Zea mays: one gene and its partners. The protein of the gene in region 2 binds, or shares a complex with, the protein of the main gene of each other region. Links are inferred from orthologs where the notes say so. Each region holds a gene or a part of one and is shown on either strand. Other genes may lie near its edges. The genes, in order: Probable chlorophyll(ide) b reductase NYC1, chloroplastic; Pheophytinase, chloroplastic; pheophorbide a oxygenase, chloroplastic; 7-hydroxymethyl chlorophyll a reductase, chloroplastic; uncharacterized protein LOC100272914.

Region 1 (4,163 bases), on a different chromosome or scaffold from region 2:
CCACTCACTCACCGATCGAGGCAGAGCAGCAGTACGTGGTAGATGGAGCACAGTAGAGCGTGTTGAGAACTACGTTACCACGGATCACCAAATCCGTCCTCTTCCCTCCCGTCAGCAGTAGATGCGCAAGAAGATGTAGAGAACCCGTCTCCTTCCCATAAGCACGACAGAGGAAACACACGAGACACTGAATATAGTTCTGATCTCTATTATGAGGTGGTGTACAAGTTGCTTATATAGAGATGTGAGACTCCTCAGGAGCAAAGCACGTATTTGCCTACATAACCCTAGAGCGAACCGGACCAGCGTTGCAGCTGTCACTCTACTTTTGCTCTGGGTCCGACCCACTGACTCAAAGCCCGACGAGCTAGGACGATCGTCGATGGTTCAGTGCACGTACGTTTGCCGTGGCACTCCCGCGCGCGCACGCCGCAGCCAACTCAACCGATGGATGGACGGTCAAACCAAGCAGGCGAACGGAGTCGGCAGCACAGCCACAGCGCTGAGTCACCTCCTCGCGTGCGTTTGCGTGCCGGACTAACGGGAGTTGCGTTGCGTGCACGTGTTTATTTGCTCTAATAACCGCGCACGCTTGGCGTCGCCGTACGTGTAACAGGAATTTTTTGCCACTAATGTGCATCTGCAAGTTTTGTCCTGTCGTAAACACCAGATGATGCTGCCGAACACGTACGAGTTGCGTTTAGGGAAAAAAATTTGTTGCAGCCCGGCTGCAAACCAGGCTGTTTGCAGCCCCTCACAAAAAGGTGGATAGGCCCCACCTGCAGGTCCACCAGATAACGTTTTAGTTGTATTATTTACCTGCGGGTGGGACCTATCCTCCTTTTTGTGAGGGGCTGCAAACAGCCTGGTTTGCAGCCGGGCTGCAACAAATTTTTTTCCTGCGTTTAGGGTTTTGGACGACGACGAAACATTGGCATCCGGGGGGGCTCGGAGGTCCCGTGCAGATCTCGTTCGCAGACAAATAAAAATATAACATGGGCCAAAATGCTCAAACGACACGTACGTACGCGTTTACAAGTATCTGTCTAGGATTCTGAGATATTTCTTCGACGATTCTGAGATACTTGATTTTTTTGCTGACATCTGTGTGCTAGCCCTGGTCCGAGCTCTATCTCCGTGTCCGTGGAATGGACTGGACAGGGACTCGGTGCAGCCGCATCCGCCCAGCGCTGGGGACCCTGAAGCCAAAGCGAACGGCCACGTGGCGCCTATCCGCGCGAATGGGACGGATGGATGAGGTTGCAGCAGCGTGTGGCCGCCGGCCAGTTCATCTGAGCCCAAAGAACTTCACAAACCAGTCCAGGGTCCTTTCTGCAATAACCTGAAGAAGCTACGATTATTATATTTATTCACTGGTAAAGCCCAGTGGAGAGCACACGCCTCTTCTCCCCCCCCAAAAAATCCAGCAGCAGCAGCAAGCCCCACGCAACATTAGCAGCAGGAGACCACCCCAATCCCCCACGGACATTCGCCGCGAACCCTTATCTGCACGCCGCGCCATGGCCGCCGCCGCCGCCGCCGCGGTCGCCCACCTCTCCATCCACGGCCGCCTCCGCCGCTCACCGGAGCATCGGCCGTCCATCACCACCACCACCACCTCCTCCTCTTCCTCGTCCGCTCACCGCCCGTCCCTGCTGCGGTGCCGCGCGTTCAAGCAGGAGGCCGGCGACGGCGACCCGGCTGAGGCCGACGCGCGGAAGCGCAGGAAGGGCCCGCTGTACAAGCTCAAGGCGGCGATCCAGGGCCTCGCGGGATCCCGCTCCGCCGCCGCCGAGGTGTACGGGGGAGAGTACCAGTACCAGCGCGCCGTCGAGAAGGCGGAGGAGATATTCTTCTCGGTGAGCACCGCACCGGCCTCCGCTCGCGAATCCTTGCGGCGTGCCCCCCACCCTCACCAGTCACCACGCTTATCTGTTTGCTCACACACACACCTGAATGAATTGCCTAACTATGCTGGAGTACTACTATCAGGAACGCAAATAAATGTCCAGTGCTCGCTAATTACAGCCTTAGTACCTTAAACCGTGGCATCATGAACAAACAAGGGTTTGTTCATTGTTGCATGTGATCCAGGCTTGCAGTCCACCATACCAAGTCGTATATTTCTCTTATTCCATTTCTCCTGTGCATAAGGGTTTCTTATATGTTTGCTGATCTCAGTCACCTTCTCGCAGGTTACTACTCAGCTAGGCAGATATGTTATCACTATGATGAGCAGCGGTGTTGTACTTGGGGTTGGATTCCAGCTGTCAGGTTTGCCATACGTTTATGCCTCTCGTTTCATTTCACTCTTGGCCTTTTCCTGAAATTCCAATTTAATTAGACGGACTATTTTTTTTAAACCCCTCACCCAGGTGGAGACAGCCAAATGAACGAACTAATTTGGTATAGCTGGCTTGGTGGGGTGATTATCGGCACAATGATAGGTGCAAACAGTGTCCTAGAGGAACACTGCAAAGCTGGACCTCGCAATGTCGTCATAACTGGAAGGTACCTTGTTTCCATCCTTCGTTCAAGATGCCTTCTGCAAAATTTTCCAGGACTCTGTATGCACCATTTTTCAATTTTCATTTATTAGCTGACTTGCCCTGTAAGAAAAGTATTGCACAGCATATTATTGATAGCATATGAAATCACTCTAGAAAACAGAAACTGTCGAGGTTAATGGATTTAGCTACTTAAGAAGGAAATAAAGTTTGGCTGTGTTTTTCAAGTTTTTGCAGTTTCACTGCTCACGGCCATTGGATAGGTTATTTCATACTGTTGTTTCTTATTTCGGCAATTAGCATTGACATCAGTTTTTTTTTTTTTGTTATAAAAAAATTCCAGCACAAGAGGGTTAGGAAAAGCGCTTGCTCGTGAGTTTCTTCTTTCTGGAGACCGTGTTGTAATTACTTCACGAAGGTGATATTCATGAGAACTTTAGTCTAGTTCTACAAGGTTTCATACTTTTTCCTTATGGAGCTTTATGCTTTATTTTAGTTTTAAATATTTTCTTTTTGTGATGGCAGTCCTGAATCAGTCCTTCAGACTATAAAAGAACTTGAAGAGAACATACAGGAAGGGTTATCTGTTGCCAAAAAGAAGCAGAGGAATATTCTATCGCATGCCAAGGTTGTTGGTACAGATTGTGATGTCTGTAAACCTGAAGATGTGAAGGAGTTAGTGAATTTTGCTATTAATGAGCTTGGTTCAGTTGATATTTGGGTAGGTAATTCATTACAGTTTTGTAGCTTAAATCTATATCTTATTTGGTCTACCTTTTGTTTTGCTAAAGAAATATTTAAGTAAAGTTGGATTATACAGAGTTTATAACATTTACATCAGTTGTGAAATGTACTTTATATATATGATGACATTAAGATAGATTTTGTGGTGCCCACTTTTATGCTTTTCTGTATGGTTCTATGGCTACATCAAAGAAGAATATTATTTACCACTTCTTCTCCAACCTTGTGTGCAGATAAATAACGCTGGCACAAATAAAGGTTTTAGGCCATTGGTAACCTTTTCAGATGATGACATCACTCAGGTTCGTTATTGTTATATTATGTTGTGTTTTTATCATTTTTTATGTATGTATCATTGATCAGAGGACCTGGCTTAATCATGCTACCTTATTTCCATCTTTTTATTAATTTATTCTGATCTATTTCATGTTGTTACAGATCGTCTCAACAAACCTAGTTGGTTCTCTACTGTGCACCAGAGAAGCCATGAATGTCATGCAATACCAAGAGAAGGGAGGCCATATATTCAACATGGATGGAGCAGGTTCTGGAGGATCAAGCACACCACTAACAGCTGTGTAAGCATCTTAGCTTTCGAATACTCTGTTGCTTCTTTATAGCTTCTACTGTATAGATGTGTGTTTTTTGTTGCTAAAACTTGAGTGTCCTGTATTGGAGTTCTTTATGTTATGAAGCGAGATCTGATGCTGAACTCAAATTTGTAGCTATGGTTCAACTAAATGTGGACTAAAGCAGTTCCAAGGATCACTTCTGAACGAAAGCAGAAGATCAAAAGTTGGAGTGCATACTGCTTCACCTGGTATGGTCCTCACAGACCTTCTGTTAAGGTAAGCTCTCCATACTTATCAGTTGTCATTATATGATTTGTAAAGGTCGCTGTGAACTTCATAT
Region 2 (4,174 bases):
TCAGCAAAGTGATGTATGCACATGAGTCGTCGGATGTTTATCCCTTCTTCATATCCCACACTTAGAAGTGGCACGCAGAATAAGAATTTATGTGGTCAAAAAAGCCATATGATTAAAATTACGGCATTTAAGAACCTTGATGTCGTATAAAGGGGTGAATAAACGATTAGCAATGTTTAACTCTATTGAACTCAACTTACTTAATATGACTAGCGAATAGACAATTAACATTTTTTACCACGTGACAAAATCAATCAAGACCATAAAAAACTCATGCTGCATAGAATTAAAGCTTCATATCAATACACAATACATGTTCAAAGAAAAAAACTTATAAATAAAAGAAGCAAACATATACTGATCGAATCGAAGTTGTGTGTATCTTTAGAATGTCTATCTTCTCGAAGGCCATGGGTGCGGGGGAAGGGCTAGGTCAGGCGGCATCTCTGGCTAAGAGCTAGTGCTAGTTAGCTCGCGAAACTCATCGGTCGCTAGAGTCGCATCGTTGCGACGAGCGAGATTGAGCTTGTCGGACGGGCCGATATTGCGATGACGACAAGCAAGACGAGGGCAGGAAGGAGTCGGGGCTAGGCAGTGTCGCGTCTCAGTAAGGGGGGAAGAGAGCGATGTCTGGGACAGGGTATCGAAGCGGACTAGCTAGGACGACGTTGAGAAAAATGAACCTAGACAGATATATGCAAGAAATGGGGCAATGAGAAGGCCGGAAGTAGGAGGATTGGACCCATCGGACCAAGAGACCTAGAACGATGTTTTAGTTCACCAAAAATTTCAAAATTTTCTATACTTAACATTAGATATAAGAGGTTTTAATGATCGAATGAGATCATGACCTACTTTACCCCTATGGGTCCGCCCTGCTTAAAAATTACGTATGTTGTAAACATAGAAATATTTTAGAAAATAGTTTAAGAAAATAGGTAGAATTGTACTATGGTAAATCTGATAGATAGAATTTAATGTTAATATGTTAGCACTTAATTCTTTTACATTATATATATACTACCGATATTTGATATGGAATTTATGACTTAAACTAACGTTAAATTGCCAAAATTTCAAGAACACCACCTACTAATTTAGTGCCACCAACGACCCTTTGCATTTTCCGGCACAGATTTTTTTGATATGAAAACGTAGTCGAAACAAAAAAAAAACATTGTGAAAACGAAAAAAAATCCACGGTCTTATTCGTCGTAGTGAGTGTGAGTCTCGACTCTCGAGTTACTTCTACGCATCTCCAAGCCGCAAACGGACAAAACCAAAGCAATCCGTGCACACCGAACTCCTCTCCTCCACTCGCCTCTTCCACGCCACGCGGATGGCGTGCGCGCACGCAAGGTCCAAAGAAGCAGGCCATCCGGGACGGCGCGAGCGCGTCCTGCGTTCCATTCCACCCTCCTCCGTCTCCGATCCTCGCCTTCAACTCCACTCCCTCGCTCTCTCGGGCCTTCTTCCCTAGCGGCGACGACGGGGTGATCACTGATTCACTGCCGCCCGCGCCAGGTCGGCCAGGTATGCGCGCTCGTTCCCTTGATCCCTTCCCTTCCTTCTTCTAGCTTCGATTTTTGGCCAAAAAAATATCTGGTATATATGTCTTACCGCGCCTGCTTTATAGCTGTATGATACAAATTGCCATATGACGAACGGTCGGATTATTGGTTCCACTTCGGTCTGGCGAAGTCATTTACTTCCCTTTTTGTCTGCAGAACTAGTGGGCGCCAAACATCATAGCGATCATGGAGGTGGTCTCTTGCAGCCACTCCTGCTCGGCATTACATCAAACACCAGCAAGCACATGGAGGCTTCGGGGCAGTGCTCTTGGCCTTGGTCTTGGGCATGCCAGGCCTTCCCGGACCAGAAGATACACAGTTGCGTGTGTAGGAACCACGAGTGGAGCTTCGAATCCGGGTGGTTCCGGCAAGGTCCATGCAGCCCAGGGATTCCATGTAAGCGACGTGGATGCAGCCCTGCAGGGCATTCCTTCCATGAAAGCCGGGGAGGCCGAGAGGGTGATGATTCAAGGCCTTCCGGAAGGCCCTGACAGCTCCCCGATCAGTACTGGGTTCTGGGAGTGGAAGCCGAAGCTGACTGTGTACTACGAGAGGTCCGGCATGAAGAACAGCAAGGCACCTGCGGTGCTCTTCCTGCCGGGGTTCGGAGTCGGGACGTTCCATTTCGAGAAGCAGCTGAGGGATCTTGGTCGCGATCATCGGGTGTGGACGATGGATTTTCTCGGGCAGGGGATGTCGCTGCCTGGTGAAGATCCTGCTCCTAGTAGCATAGCGAGCGAAGATGCGTTTTGGGGCTTTGGACAAGATTCGCAGCCTTGGGCAGAGGAGCTGGTGTATTCTGTGGATTTATGGCAAAACCAAGTTCAGCATTTCATTGAGGAGGTACTCCTTGAATTAGTTACTGTGTCTTGCAATGTTTGTTTTGACTAAATTGGCATCGGTGTTTAGTTTGCAAATCTTGCCTTTTGGAAACTCCTCATAGGCTTGTTACTATTTTTTTCTTTATTCATAAATATCTGAAACTGGAACATTGTTTTTTCCTCGAACGTGCAGAAAAGCTGCGCATCGTTATATTAAGAGAAGAAAAATTACAAAATGGACTAAATTACAAAGCCCAAAGGGTAGAAAAACTGGATCCAAAGACCACCAGCCAAACACTAATGTTCCATCCTCTTCCTATGCTGAAATAATAAAGAAGATGCAGAAGCAAAAGAGCAGGCAAACCTAATTTGCCTAAACGCTAAGCACTGTGATTTTCCCTGACCATATTAAAGGCAGGCAGCAGCAAGGCCAAGACTCTCTAGATGCTTAGCACCAGCCCTACCCCAACACATCAACTCATCCAAAGACATACTTTGGACTGTGCTCATGGAAGGACTCACTCCATCAAATACAGCCCTGTTACGATGAAGCCATAAGCACCAAGCCCTCAAAATGATGACGCTGTTAAAACCTTTTCTCATGTTCTTGTGCGCCTTTCTATGCGCTTTTCCCCACCACACAACATAAGAGATATCATCACTAGTAGGAGTGAGATCATCAAGCCTCAAGGGCGATAGAACACCATGCCAAACTGGAACATTGTTTGAATGCCTTCATTTTTGTGTTGACAACTGCTCGAAACCGACACTGATGAGTGATGACCAACATAAACTATGCATATTTTACTGCTAGAAATGTAGTAATCGTCATATTTATGTTTGTTCTGTACTTCTGTTTAAAATTGCACACATAAGGTTTAAATCTGTTTATTGTAACCATCGTATATGGATGGCTTAGCTATCTATGCCTTTATACTACAGAAGCTAATAAAGGTTCACTGATACATATGATCATATAATTTCACCATGAGATTTATACAACATATTTCGTAAGCTAAGATTATAGTTCATTTCCAGGTTATCCGTGAACCAGTTTATATTGTGGGGAACTCTCTTGGAGGTTTTGTTGCTCTGTATTTTGCTGCATCCAGTCCACACCTTGTAAAAGGTGTCACACTGCTTAATGCAACACCGTTTTGGGGATTCTTTCCCAACCCTGCTACATCTCCCCGATTGTCAAAGATTTTCCCATGGGCTGGGACATTTCCGCTTCCATCATTTGTGAGGAAAATTACTGAAGCAGTGTAAGTGTTGTTTATTATTTTTGGAGAACATATTCGATCACTAAAATCATACATTTCACACTGACATGAACCAACAGTTTCTGATGTTTTAACTTCGCTATATTGAAATTTGTGATATTTACTTATTTCAAGAAACGTTATATTTGTAGTTTTACATGTGAAAGCATTATTACCATAATGATTTAGTTTGCTTATGCTCTTGCATTATTGAAATTTTAGAAATAAACTAACATGCAAAATTAAATGTCTAATGCATGTGTCATTGAAAAGTTATGAATTATCCACACATTGTATTTTATAATCTAATTGGAGTGTAATTTCCTCTGTGATATAGTTGGCAAAAGATAAGTGACCCAAAAAGTATTCAGGACATACTCAAACAAGTATACGCTGACCATTCAACAAATGTGGACAAAGTATTCTCTCGTATTGTGGAGATAACACAACACCCAGCAGCTGCTGCATCGTTTGCCTCCATTATGTTTGCTCCAAGGGGTCAGATATCCTTCCAAGAGGC
Region 3 (4,059 bases), on a different chromosome or scaffold from region 2:
AGGAAAACAAAGCTTAAGTAAAGGAAACACTAAACACACATGTACCTGCCACCATGCTTTTCCTGGCATTGTGAACTGGAAAAAGTTTCGAGCGCTACAGACAATAGAACGAGTCTTCCCTGGGGCCATTGGAATGTTGAAAGAGCAAATCCATATGACCCATTTCTGGTCGCCAAAAATGGGTAACTTTGTGTCTATCTCTATTCTGTACAAGCCAGTTAACAGAAGTTCAGAACCGTATAACGACTGAATTGCTTAAGTGGTAAATAAGAATCACTCCACACTCAAAGATGACCAGGTACTTTTCTGAAACTTACTTGTTTAATGCATAACAAGGGGCCTCAAAAGTTGCAGTAATGCGAGGATTACCAGAATTTGCTCCTGAGTAACCCCAGGCACCACTTGATTCCATCCTGAATGTCAAAGGCCTGGCTCTATCTCTTCGTCCAGTAACCTGTGAAGAGTTAAAATCTGAAACATGAGTGGATTTGCTGAAACCATGTATCCCGAGAAAATAAAGCATTTTGTTTGTCTATGCTGCCGGCACAAGTTCATGACACACAGATAGCACAATTAACTCAGCCAGTCATTTATAGGGTTTGGTTTGAGGAGCCACTCCATTCTAAATGTGGTGATGCATCATGAGTCAATTCCTTAAATTTGGTTGAATGACCCCATTCTTCATACTAGTACTAACTACTAGTCTGAGGAATGATGTGATAATGCACTGACCAACCTACTCCATTCAACAAACCAAACAAAGAAAAGAGGAATGAGTGGGTGAACTAACTAATCCCTCAAACCAAACACCCTATTAATGCCTGTTCAGACTAAGCAAGTAGCGTAAGTAAAAAAGAATAAAACTATGATGCAAAAATATATATGGGTGCATCCACAGTTAAGATCTAACAGTTAGGGTTTGGTTCCTTTAGTCCAGGGACGAAAGTTTAGTTAGAAGACTAAAATTTAGTCCCTACCCTGTTTGGTTCTAAAAACTATAAGTATTCAAAACACATTAAATGAATCATAAGAAGACCAAAATACTCCTTAACATCCTCCCGCCATTAGTGCAACTGAAATGAAGGAGGGCCAAAAAGTGGATTTTTATGGTTTAGCCCCTTAGAGTCATCCCTTGAGGGACTAGAGACTAGAACAGTTTAGTCCTTGTTTTAGTCCCACCGTTTGTCAATTTATGGACTAAATGGGACTAAAATGGAGGCACTGATATTTAATCCCTCAAACCAAACGGGACCTTAGTTAAACTTGCACGCTGGCAATCAGAAACGATAAGAGGCCAGACTCAGACCATTCAGCCCTTTTGCCCATTATAAGTCATTTCTGAGGAATTTCAATGCAGCATAAGTAAAAAAGAATAAAACTATGATGCAAAAAAAATATATGGGTACATCCACAGTTAAGATCTAACAGTTAGTTAAACTTGCACACTGGCAATCAGAAACGATAAGAGGCCTACACAATTAAACAGTATTGAGGTGGTGATTTTTTAGCAAACTACACAAATTGGTTGCAACAAAACATCTTTCCTCGAATCACCAACTTTCAACTGAAAAATACTATCATGGTGCTTAAGTGTGGCAAGCAACTAAGCTTTCTCACTGTACCAAGTACCTTGTGGTGAGCAAATTCTATATGGGACGGATCAGAGACGTTCTCCATCAACGTATCATAACCATAGAACAAGTCCCTCTGGATTGTCACCGTGGAGAAGGCCGGGTCCTCAAATTCTTTCGGCAACCTGAAACCAAACAAGATCGAATTCAGACACCGAAATGCAAAACTGAATCCAACCAATTAGCCGCAGTCCAAAGTCTGACTCTACGCACATTGGAGGCTTGGTGGCGGCCGCTTTCTCCCACCCATTCTCATCGGGCCACACGAAGAGCAGCCCCTGGGAGACGAGGGTGGGGAACTTGATCGCGCACGCCTTCGGTGACCGCACCGCACGGGCCTCAGGACCCTCGGGCATGGCCTGGGGGATCTTGGTGCAGGCGCCGGAGCCATCGAATGACCATCCGTGATACGAGCACTGCAAGCACCCCGTCTCATCGATCCTGCCCTCCTGCACATGCCCAGACCAAAATTAGCCGAAACGAGGAAGAGATCCGGTAGGACACGGATGAGGCGAGGAAGGGATGCGGGTCGCCGTACCGAGAGCGGGGCAAGGCGGTGGGGGCAGCGGTCGTCGAGCGCGACCCACTCGCCGGACTTGGGTTCCTTCCAGATGACGAGGTCGCGGTTGAGGAGCTGGAACGGGGTGGGGCGGCTGGGGTCGAGGTCCTCGACGAGGGAGACCGGGTACCAGTGATCCCTCCACGAGAACTTCTCGCCGGACTCGGGCGCCGACGTGCTCGGCTCCGCCTGCTCCGCCGCTTCCCCTGGGACGGACGTCGGCGCCGCCACGCGGAGGCGGGTCCGAGAACGACCGCCCACGCGGAGGCGGCCTCCAGCCAGCGGCACGGCGAGCGAGGGGAGCCGCGGCGTCACCAGGAGCGACAGGGCTGGGATTGTCGCGCGCATATTCTCCCCGCACGTGTCGACGTGAAGTGAAGTGAAGAGGTTTTGGCTTTCGCGTTGGGAATTCTTCGCCGCGCTGGCTATATGCTTGGCGGCCGGAGTCGGTGGTTGGAACGGTGCAGATCTTCTAGACTGGGCAAGAACAGAGTTCTGCCACGGCAACGGGGAGAAACCTGGTTTTGGCGCAAGAAAACCAGTGGACAAACAAGAAAATTCCGGGATTTTCCCACGCTGGGGAGTGAACGCGAGGGAAGAACTAGTAGGGCTGGGCAAAAAACCCGTAACCCGAAACCCAAACCTGGAATACCCGAACCCGAACCCGAAATACCCGAAACCCGAATTTTGTTTGGGAATTTCGGGTAGCAACTTGCAAAACCCGAAATTATTTCGGGTAATTCGGGTATCACAATCGGGTACCCGAAATACCCGAATTACCCGAACTTTCATGTGTCATGTACTCATGTCATGCTTAATAATTAATTTGTACATCTATAATTATGTGTAAGTGTGCATAACTTGGGATTGTAGATTGTTTGTGTTTTATATGTCCATGTATATCATTATTCAAACTATATTTTTATACTAATTTAATAGGGTGTATGTGTTTTTATGAAGCCAACACAATAGTTCGGGTAGTTTGGGAATACCCGAACCCGAACCCGAAATTCCGGGTACCCGAAATTCCGGGTATTGAAAAATCCGTTGTAATTTCGGGTATTGATTCTCAAAACCCGAAATTTAAAAAACTTGAATTACCCAACCCGAAAATTTCGGGTAACCCGAACGCCCACCCCTAAGAACTACTGATACGGTTCGGCTAGGGAGAATACATTGTACACATGGTGAGCGCAGTGTGGTTGCGTCACGGCAGGGAAGGGAGGAAGGGCGGGGAAGGAGGACAATTGTACGCGACCACGCATGGCGCTTTGCGGCATTTGTGCGGTGGAGCTTGCATTGGGCCAGCTAGCCGTCCCCACCGGGACGAATGCGCCGCGCGGAGGGGAGACCTGACCGGCGGTGAGAACGACACGAACCCACCCGTGGGCCGTGGCGGAATCCACCCCGCCGGATGTTTGCAATTCGCATCTTGCTGAGTAGCTACAAAGTTGAATAGATCAAATTCGAATTTGTTTACCAGTTCTACTACTACTTCCGTCCCTCAACCTATAGTAACCATTATAAGAGCATCTCAACTCATTTCAAAAAAACTTTCTAAATTCAGATTTAGCGAGCTGCTAAATATATACTGAAAAAACTGTCAAATCAGTTTTTCTAATTATTACTTGGAATTTTAAATTTAGTTTCATTTGTATGGTAAAGCTATCTTTAGACTTGTCAAATGAGGATGGTACATTTATAATTTTCGCGGCTTAAATCATTTAAAGTGTGTCACTTGTATACGAGCGCGATCCCGATGGTAGGCAAGTGAGTTTGCGATGCAGTTGACAAGCAAAATAGTTTATATGTAGATCTGGTTTAAATGTGATAATTATTTAAACATGTTCTAATAATACTAACTATAAA
Region 4 (4,157 bases), on a different chromosome or scaffold from region 2:
GCTGCCAAGGTCTACTTCACTATGAGGATCAAGTGGTCGCGCAACGGGACGCCTATGAACAAATGTGTTTGCTGCACACCGAGATGGACAAATGGTTGCTTTCAGTTGCAGGAATAAATTCTGCAGTCATTAGCTACCTGGGAGATCTGTGTGCATTGTACATCATGTGTTTTGTGCTTCGCTGTGAGAATGTGTAACACATGGAAGGATTCAGAATCTGTGCCCATTGCATATGATATATGTCTCGTGTCAGATTTTAACTACAAAACATCTGAAGCAGAGCTCGAGTTAGCTCAAACAATCTATCAGATTTTAAACTGAAGAGTGAAATAACATGCGAGAGATGAGTTCACTGGCAAGCTATTGCTCCATATATACGTGGTGGACTGGAATCGCGTGATGTGTGCTGATAGATTCTGCTAAGGCAAAAAAGAATGCTTAGTTTTTCTGGTTTCAACGTAGATCATCTTTACCACTTTATGAACAAATTAGATAAAATTACTACTTTATGCAAAAATTAGGTACAATTACACATAAATAGTGGTCATCTTTACCACTTTATGAAAAAATTAGATAAAATTACTACTTTATGCAAAAATTAGGTACAATTACACATAAATAGTAGTTTGGGCCTTTATTGGATTTACATCCACACCCATCTAACCAACAGAAGATATATATTTTGTGTTTTGTAAAACAAAGTCTATCAATAGGTAGTGGTTTGAATATTTGTTTGTTGTACATCCACCTTCATCTAACCAACAGAACCCACATGTTTTCGTGATTTGTTAAAATAAAGTCTAATTGTTTGATATATAGAAACCGTAACAACGCACGTGCAATTAGCTATAATAAGATTACATATTTATCTCGCCAATATAATAGTTTTACAGTGATATTTTGCCACATAGATTTTGCATATCATAATGTTGTTTATCGTTTCGTATCTATGTTTTATACTATTTTTTTTACTTTCGTAGCAACGCATGGGCATGAACCTAGTCATATATATGATCGCGTAAAAAATTATTTTATATTGTATACTACTGTTTATAAGAGTTAAGTTTAAAATAGCGGTTGAGATATGAGATATGATGAGTAAGGTGTTGAAGACAATCTAAGAGTACGGATCGTCGTCCCACCAAAAGGAGGGACTACGAAGTAAAAAAATACATATATGGGCGGCATAATTTCTGTTAACTTTTTATCCGGGGTATAGTGTTGAATTTTGAATATTTTTAAATATGAAAACCAAAAAGATGCACTATGCATCGATGGGTGGACATTTTGCAGGCTCCGAATTTTCCTCAAAGGGTGGACATGAGCCGAAATTCATGAGGTGGCCCAGTAACAGTAGTTTCTCTTAAAGGCTCAAGGCATGACTCCTCCATCTCCACTCGATCCTCCGTCTTATCACCGGTGAGGTACTGAGGTGAGACGATCTCCGCCACCATGGCCTCCAGCACCTCCCTCTCCCTTTGCTTGCACGCCTCGTCGCCCTCGTCCTCGTCTCCTGGACTCCGCCGACCCTCCCTCGCCTCCTCCTCGTCCTCCAGGTCCGAGAGAACGCGCAAGATCAGGGCCAAGGCGGTCAGGGAGGACTGGAGGCAGAAATCCAAGCCCATCCCTCCTGGCGCCGTCTACCCTGCCAAGGACCACTGCAGGTATATGCCTGCTGTGCTGCGCATTTCTTTGTTTGTTTGTGTGTTTATGTGATGCGAATATGCGATGCTTACCTCTGTTCCTATTTCTACTCGTATGGCGATTCAAGCCGTTGTGGGCTCTGCGACACATACTACGTTGCGCATGTCAAGACTGCCTGTGCCTTCCTGGGAGACGGCATGTCCCGTGTCGAGGTCACCTCCCTTCATCTTCGCATCACATCACCTGCCTAGAACGGCTCAAACAGTTTGCTGAATGAAAACAAAAATGATCGTCTGATGTTTGATCAAGCCATGGGCTGCAGTGCTGCACGCAGTTACTCCCTCCGTCGAAAGTTATAGTTCAACTTTTCTAACTCTGACCAAGTTCATAGAGACCATCTACAATATCAAAATGATTTCATCAATTTCTTCGTGAAAAATGTCTTGATAGTTTATTTGAACATATACAGAGGGAGTATATTTTTTTATAAAATACTTAGGTCAAGTCAAAGTTAAAAGAAGTTTTGATTTAGAATAAAGCTAAAGTGAACTATAATTTAGACCGAGGGAGTAGTAATGCTCGACATGAATTCTACACTTTGTTTCAGTGAAATAAAGCGGGGAACTCTCCTGTTTCCTAAAAAAAGTTGACACAAATTTACAGATGCCAACACTCTCCTCACTATATTTAGGATCTTGAGCGACAAGTCCACGGGAGAGGCCGGAAGGAAGGCATGGATGAAATGTACTTTGGAGTCTATGACCAACTCTTGTATGCCAGGAAGACCGAACCTGTTGAAGGTACTAATTACCTTTTACAAGTTGTTCTTATCCTTCAACAACCGCCTGCATCCATCTAAGGAAGCACACATATGCAATATACCAGTCTTGTTCACTGCCCTTCCATAACAAACCGAAACCACATACACCTCGAATGTTGCATCTTATTTCCTACACTATCTTGATATACTCAACAAACCTTTGTTAGACAAAACTGTACCCTGACGACTTATGTTTTGTACCCTGTAACATATATGTGCCTCACATGCAACAGGAGCCCAGTGGACGGGAATAGTGACAACAATCGCTGTCGAGATGCTGAAAGCAAACATGGTTGATGCTGTGGTTTGTGTACAAAGGCACCCAAACAAGAATCAAATGCCACATCATTCTTTCTCAGTGCTATGCACAAGCATTACCACATGGATTCAAATAATGTTTTTTACCCCCTCTGCAGTGATCCTGACGACAGGCTTGCTCCAAGACCTGTTTTGGCCAGGTATTGTGAAACTGATGGCTTTCAGAATTGTCCTTTATGGCTTGTGTATAACACTCCTTGACTGGATATACTTTTGCAATTCCAGACTTTCTGTAACTATTTTGAGCTTAAACTTTTGTTATCAGTCCATCCATGAATTACTCATGCTAATCATTATGTCCCTTGATTTCTAGAATGGAAGTGACATTTAATCTCAGTAGCCATGCTCTTGTAGGACACCAGACGAAGTAATTGCAGCCAAAGGTGTGAAGCCAACATTATCACCAAATCTCAATACACTTGCCTTAGTCGAGGTAAGTCGCTCCTTTTAACTCTATACTTCCCATGCCCCCTTATTCTTGATGCAAGCTATGGTGCCATGCCTCCTTTCCCTTTCTTATAACATATAGAAGTAATAATGGGTCATATCAGCAGATCTCTGAGAGTCAGAGAGAATCAGCTGTCCTAATATTAATTTAGGGTTAATTGATCCAGATATTCGTTCCCATTTCCCAATTCAAGAGAATTAGAAGTAGTTCAATTATATTTGAATTTGTTGCTTGGCAAGACCGCAAATGTAATTCTATTAGCCTATTAAATCTGGAGTAGCCCCACATTCTAGTGGGTTCCAAAGCCTATTCCAATCATCCCTCCAACCATAACAATACATATGATATCCTATAGTGACCAGTTTATAAATCCAGAGAGTTTCACAGTTTCCTTTGGCAGGCAGCTGGTGTAAAGCGGCTTCTTTTCTGCGGTGTGGGCTGTCAAGTGCAAGGTCTTTTCCTTTACCTGGCCTTTCTTCTCTTTCTATTGCTGATGTTTTATCAAATGTAAAAGTAAAAGTTGCTAAAGTTATTGTTTGAACTACAGCTTTGAGATCTGTAGAAAAGTACCTTGGTTTGGAAAAGCTTTATGTGCTTGGAACAAACTGTGGTAATTTCCATTTCTCCTCTCAAACCAGTCAATATTTACATTTTCTGTCGTGGAAGATAATATTGTAGCTCTAACATACTGTATTTTTCTTAGTTGACAATGGTACGCGTGAAGGGCTTGATAAATTCTTGAAAGCGGCAAGCAGTGAGCCAGAAACTGTTATGCATTATGAATTTATGCAAGACTATAAGGTATGACATTGAAATAATTAGCTGCATACATTCTTTTTCCCACATTGGTAGGTTCATGTATGGATAATCAATAGGATAGGAATACAGTTTTCCATATCAACAGCTCAAGGAGCAGTTTTAGGATCA
Region 5 (3,931 bases), on a different chromosome or scaffold from region 2:
TGAGGCACACCGCAACGTGTCACTTTGTTTTAATCCAGGGATTTCCTTGACGTATTATCGTGCACAATTGTATACATACGTGAATTTCATTCTGAAACAGATTTTCATCCTATCGCCAAAGTCCAAAAGTTACTGATGTAAAGTCCAGCAAATGCATAAACCCGAACGGCCGTCACGAACTATGCAACGTCCAGATACGCACAAGACAGTAGCTACTTGTTTGACCCCCCCCCCCCCCCCCCCCTCCGGGATCAAAACAAATTTCATAGGACCGATATTATCGAACATTACTTGTTACCATCATCATGTGCATCCGAGCTCAGGAGTGGCTGCTGCTATGCTAGCTCGCCACAGTTTCGCTTGAACACGGAACAACCTGGTTGTAGTTGTCATTTGAACATATCAGGTACACATAATACTATTATGATGCCATATCCGAACATTGCGAAAAATGGTGATGGAGAGTGTTCTTTGCAAAATACATACAGCGGCAAAGGATAGTAGATCTAACATGGATGGATATTTTTTTAATATGTACACCATATACACCAAAGTTTTATATACATAAAACAAGATGCAGCAAAACACACCGCCATTCAGTACCTCCTTTTTAGGCAGAGCTAATTCTTATGCTTATTGGGTATGTTAGCATCAGGAAGACAGGAACGGCTTAGGAACTCTGTGATGAGAGACTGTTCCTGGAAACCTGGTCCTAACAACTGATCATCTTCACCTGCATAGCTCACTTTCATCATCTCAGTTAGCACTTGGTAGTAATATATACACAACTTTAGCACATATACTTTCGATTGTTCAAATAAGGGGGTTTCATGGACTCACAACAATTTTTCTCTACAATAAAGTAACTACATGCTTGTATTTATGAACGACTTACGGCTCTTGTACACCAAAGGCCTTGCGGATTTCAGTTATGACCCGACTAGACACATCCGGACCAAACATCCTGGGAAGGTTTGCAGTCAGGTCAACCTCTATCGATTTCGACCTTACAATCCGGTCCCTCTTGAGCAGGCAGTCCCTCTCCGCCTCATCCATCTCTATGGTGGAATCAACACAGTTGTCAAGCCAAGTCTGAAGAGCCTCCTGAATGACCTTTGCTAACTGTCCATGTATTATCTCTTCCAAGGCTTTCTCACCCCCTTGTCCACAGTCAATGCTCACCATTATTGCTGTAGGCGAGCATGCGCTGCGCACGAAGAGTGACGGAGATCTGTATGGACGAGCCTGCGGTAGCTCCTCGATCTTTCTGCGCTGCTCATCCATTCCAGTTTCCTCGTAGTACTTCTGCAGGTAGTCCGGGTGAAACGCGAGGTCTTTCCGTGGAAGCAGGTCCAGAATCACCACCATTGAAGTTGAGCTGCCTTGTATGAGCTCCAGTAGGAAATGTGGTGCGTCCGTCGAGGCGTTCAGGAAAATGAGAATTGAGGTGATGTCAATGGCACCGTTCGGGACTTCACAGTGAAGCGAGGACTGCAGCATGAAATCAATCTGTAGACAAGGAGGAAACGCACATCAGGTCCTGTCATCGTTTCTTTTTACTACATCTTACAGCAGTAGCAAACAGGAAGCATGTTAATGCAAGCTTTCTTCCATCCTCGACGACATTGCTGTTTTCAATGACTGAAATCACATATTAAGATTGAACTATCAGCTCAAGGACAACAACATATATGACAGTGATATTCAGATTGGACTGCGATTACAGTTTAAGTTTTGGAAATCACGGGACGGATCATTGCCAGTTTCTTTATCTGGAACTCGGCAGTCTCACAAGTCACAACAATAATCTAAGGGACTCAAATGGAGAACTGTTAGTAACCTACAATTGACAAGATGCTTTGATAGAGTTGCATTAGCAATATTTCCATCTAAAACTTTGACAATTCACCTTGAATGGATCAGTGGACAACAATTATCCAATTGGCGAGAAGTAGGCGGTCAGCAAGTGCACCAAACCATACTGAACTGAAACACAAGCCATTTTTTGGTATTCAATACAGATGCCATATATGGGGTGATGTGTGTATTTGAGTACTATATACCAAGGAAAAATGGTGGAATGCATGATGTGCCGATTCCGAGTCATACTGGAGATCCCATAACCGTATTACGCACAGAGCAGTATAGTAGTATGCCCTTATCTTTTGGTATGCAACCACACGAAAGCTGTATTATACTAACATGGTACGGTACTACCACAAGAAAAAAAAAAATAGGATCACTATTGAACTGTACCGACGAGCCAGGAGAGCCCCGTTGCACGTCGAGCGAGCCGACGGCGTTCCCGGCGGCGTTGCGAAACTCGACGACGTCGGCAGGCACGGCGGACGGCAGCAGCCGCGCGCCCAAACGCGCCACCGCCTGATCCGCGACCACCCGCGCCACCTCCCTCTGGGCCATCTCGGGCGCGCGCTTTACCGTAGAATCCGGCTCCGCCGAGGCGCGCACGGGGCTCGACGTTTTGCCCCTGAGCGGGGGAGGCCGCGAGCGGGCTAGCCGGAGGGCACTGAGGCGAGGGAGAGGACTGGAGAGGAAAGAGTAACCCGAGATCAACGCGGGCGCTGTAGCGTGGCTGGTCGCCGGCAGCAACCGGAGATATTGCTCCAGCCGGAGCATGGAGGGGAAGCTGATTCCTGTCCCGGCGTCGGATAGGGGGAGTAAGAAGACGACGTTACAGACTACAGTGACGTGAGAACTAGCAGGTAGCAGCTACAAAGAGGAGGCAGCGCTATCGCCAATGCACGCACAAAAAAGAATTTACGTGATTATCGGGGTGGATATCGAGCCACTCGGCTCGGCTCGACCGAGCTCGAGCTGGCTCGTTAAGGAAACGAGCTGGCTCGGCTCGGCTCGTTAAGCAACCGAGCCAGAGAATCAGCTCGGCTCGGCTCGTTTGCGAGCTCGAGCTGGCTCGTTTATCTCGCGAGCCAGAACAAAAAATATTATACATGTATATATACAACAATATAATTAATTGCTAGTTAATTTCATACTAATTTAACACTAGAAAAGACTAACAATACTCATAATTTTATATATCACATCATCTAAACCGTAAACTAACATAGTTCATCACTTATTAATTCATCTAATACAAGTATAGGCTTTGTTTTACAGATAAATGCTAGCTCATTCGAGCTAACGAGCTGGCTCGAGCTCGTGTCGAGCTGGCTCGTTAACGAACCGAGCTGAGATGTTAGCTCAGCTCGTGATAAAATTGAAACGAGCCGAGTCGAGTCGAGCCGAGCTGGCCACGAGTCGAGCGAGCTCACGAGCCACGAGTATTTTGCCCAGCCACGATTATCTATTAACTCTAATAACTTGGAGGATAGTTCGGAAAATCGGAAGGTCCATATTTTTTATTGCGTTTAAAAAGGCAAAATGTGTGAAGGAGTGTCTTGGACCTAATTTGGGCGCCAATTACTAATGACCGAAGCGAGATTGTAGATAAGATGTAAAATAAATAACACTATCTCGGATGCGGTCTTGAACTTTATCTCTATCGCTGATTTATAGTACACCACCTCTATGATGACCACCATCTATTTAAAACCAAACACCAATGAAGCCTAGTCACTTCTCGTGACGAGCAATACTTTGGGTTCGGCTCTGCAACGTGAACAGCGATGACGGTCCATGACAGGTCACTGAAAGTAGCCTAGAGAGGGGGTGAATAGGCTACACCTGAAATTTTTCACTAAAAACTTCGAGATATGTCAAATTAAAGTTGCACTGGTGCAAACCGGTTCAGTTGATTTTGTTTACAACTGAACAAGTTTGAACCTGCTCAACTTAGATTAAATAATCAGTTAAACTAATATGACGAAGTAGTGAAAGATTTTGCTAATGACTTTCCCTACAGAAAATCCACTCAAATAAATGAATATAAAACAACCAACAATTTTAGGCA

The links.
Region 1: Pheophytinase, chloroplastic (region 2) and Probable chlorophyll(ide) b reductase NYC1, chloroplastic share a complex: the UniProt entries of both Arabidopsis thaliana proteins name them as parts of the SGR1-CCE-LHCII complex. The link is inferred for Zea mays from reciprocal best matches to the Arabidopsis thaliana genes PPH and NYC1.
Region 3: Pheophytinase, chloroplastic (region 2) and pheophorbide a oxygenase, chloroplastic share a complex: the UniProt entries of both Arabidopsis thaliana proteins name them as parts of the SGR1-CCE-LHCII complex. The link is inferred for Zea mays from reciprocal best matches to the Arabidopsis thaliana genes PPH and ACD1.
Region 4: Pheophytinase, chloroplastic (region 2) and 7-hydroxymethyl chlorophyll a reductase, chloroplastic share a complex: the UniProt entries of both Arabidopsis thaliana proteins name them as parts of the SGR1-CCE-LHCII complex. The link is inferred for Zea mays from reciprocal best matches to the Arabidopsis thaliana genes PPH and HCAR.
Region 5: Pheophytinase, chloroplastic (region 2) and uncharacterized protein LOC100272914 share a complex: the UniProt entries of both Arabidopsis thaliana proteins name them as parts of the SGR1-CCE-LHCII complex. The link is inferred for Zea mays from reciprocal best matches to the Arabidopsis thaliana genes PPH and ACD2.

What each region holds. Positions count from the first base shown.
Region 1 is NC_050098.1:2,269,979-2,274,141, reverse strand, and holds the start of Probable chlorophyll(ide) b reductase NYC1, chloroplastic, read left to right. Parts: upstream 1-1,355; 5' UTR 1,356-1,520; coding exon 1,521-1,859; intron 1,860-2,195; coding exon 2,196-2,274; intron 2,275-2,375; coding exon 2,376-2,511; intron 2,512-2,850; coding exon 2,851-2,925; intron 2,926-3,032; coding exon 3,033-3,228; intron 3,229-3,484; coding exon 3,485-3,553; intron 3,554-3,689; coding exon 3,690-3,829; intron 3,830-3,976; coding exon 3,977-4,099; intron 4,100-4,163. UniProt on the Arabidopsis thaliana protein: Involved in chlorophyll b degradation. Belongs to the chlorophyll catabolic enzymes (CCEs).
Region 2 is NC_050100.1:79,043,192-79,047,365, forward strand, and holds the start of Pheophytinase, chloroplastic, read left to right. Parts: upstream 1-1,374; 5' UTR 1,375-1,533; intron 1,534-1,727; 5' UTR 1,728-1,757; coding exon 1,758-2,414; intron 2,415-3,430; coding exon 3,431-3,657; intron 3,658-3,991; coding exon 3,992-4,174. UniProt on the Arabidopsis thaliana protein: Alpha/beta hydrolase dephytylating specifically the Mg-free chlorophyll pigment (pheophytin), yielding pheophorbide. No activity on chlorophyll. Belongs to the chlorophyll catabolic enzymes (CCEs).
Region 3 is NC_050096.1:10,195,918-10,199,976, reverse strand, and holds the start of pheophorbide a oxygenase, chloroplastic, read right to left. Parts: upstream 2,803-4,059; 5' UTR 2,539-2,802; coding exon 2,170-2,538; intron 2,081-2,169; coding exon 1,845-2,080; intron 1,757-1,844; coding exon 1,630-1,756; intron 455-1,629; coding exon 318-454; intron 206-317; coding exon 46-205; intron 1-45. UniProt on the Arabidopsis thaliana protein: Catalyzes the key reaction of chlorophyll catabolism, porphyrin macrocycle cleavage of pheophorbide a (pheide a) to a primary fluorescent catabolite (pFCC). Works in a two-step reaction with red chlorophyll catabolite reductase (RCCR).
Region 4 is NC_050096.1:206,310,994-206,315,150, forward strand, and holds the start of 7-hydroxymethyl chlorophyll a reductase, chloroplastic, read left to right. Parts: upstream 1-1,348; 5' UTR 1,349-1,452; coding exon 1,453-1,664; intron 1,665-1,771; coding exon 1,772-1,856; intron 1,857-2,335; coding exon 2,336-2,444; intron 2,445-2,697; coding exon 2,698-2,782; intron 2,783-2,880; coding exon 2,881-2,922; intron 2,923-3,136; coding exon 3,137-3,215; intron 3,216-3,630; coding exon 3,631-3,682; intron 3,683-3,777; coding exon 3,778-3,840; intron 3,841-3,933; coding exon 3,934-4,031; intron 4,032-4,157. UniProt on the Arabidopsis thaliana protein: Probable iron-sulfur flavoprotein that converts 7-hydroxymethyl chlorophyll a to chlorophyll a using ferredoxin as a reducing equivalent. Catalyzes the reduction of a hydroxymethyl group to a methyl group. Belongs to the chlorophyll catabolic enzymes (CCEs).
Region 5 is NC_050096.1:144,516,658-144,520,588, forward strand, and holds uncharacterized protein LOC100272914, read right to left. Parts: upstream 2,650-3,931; 5' UTR 2,638-2,649; coding exon 2,257-2,637; intron 1,510-2,256; coding exon 892-1,509; 3' UTR 734-891; coding exon of another isoform or gene 730-733; 3' UTR 501-729; downstream 1-500. UniProt on the Arabidopsis thaliana protein: Catalyzes the key reaction of chlorophyll catabolism, porphyrin macrocycle cleavage of pheophorbide a (pheide a) to a primary fluorescent catabolite (pFCC).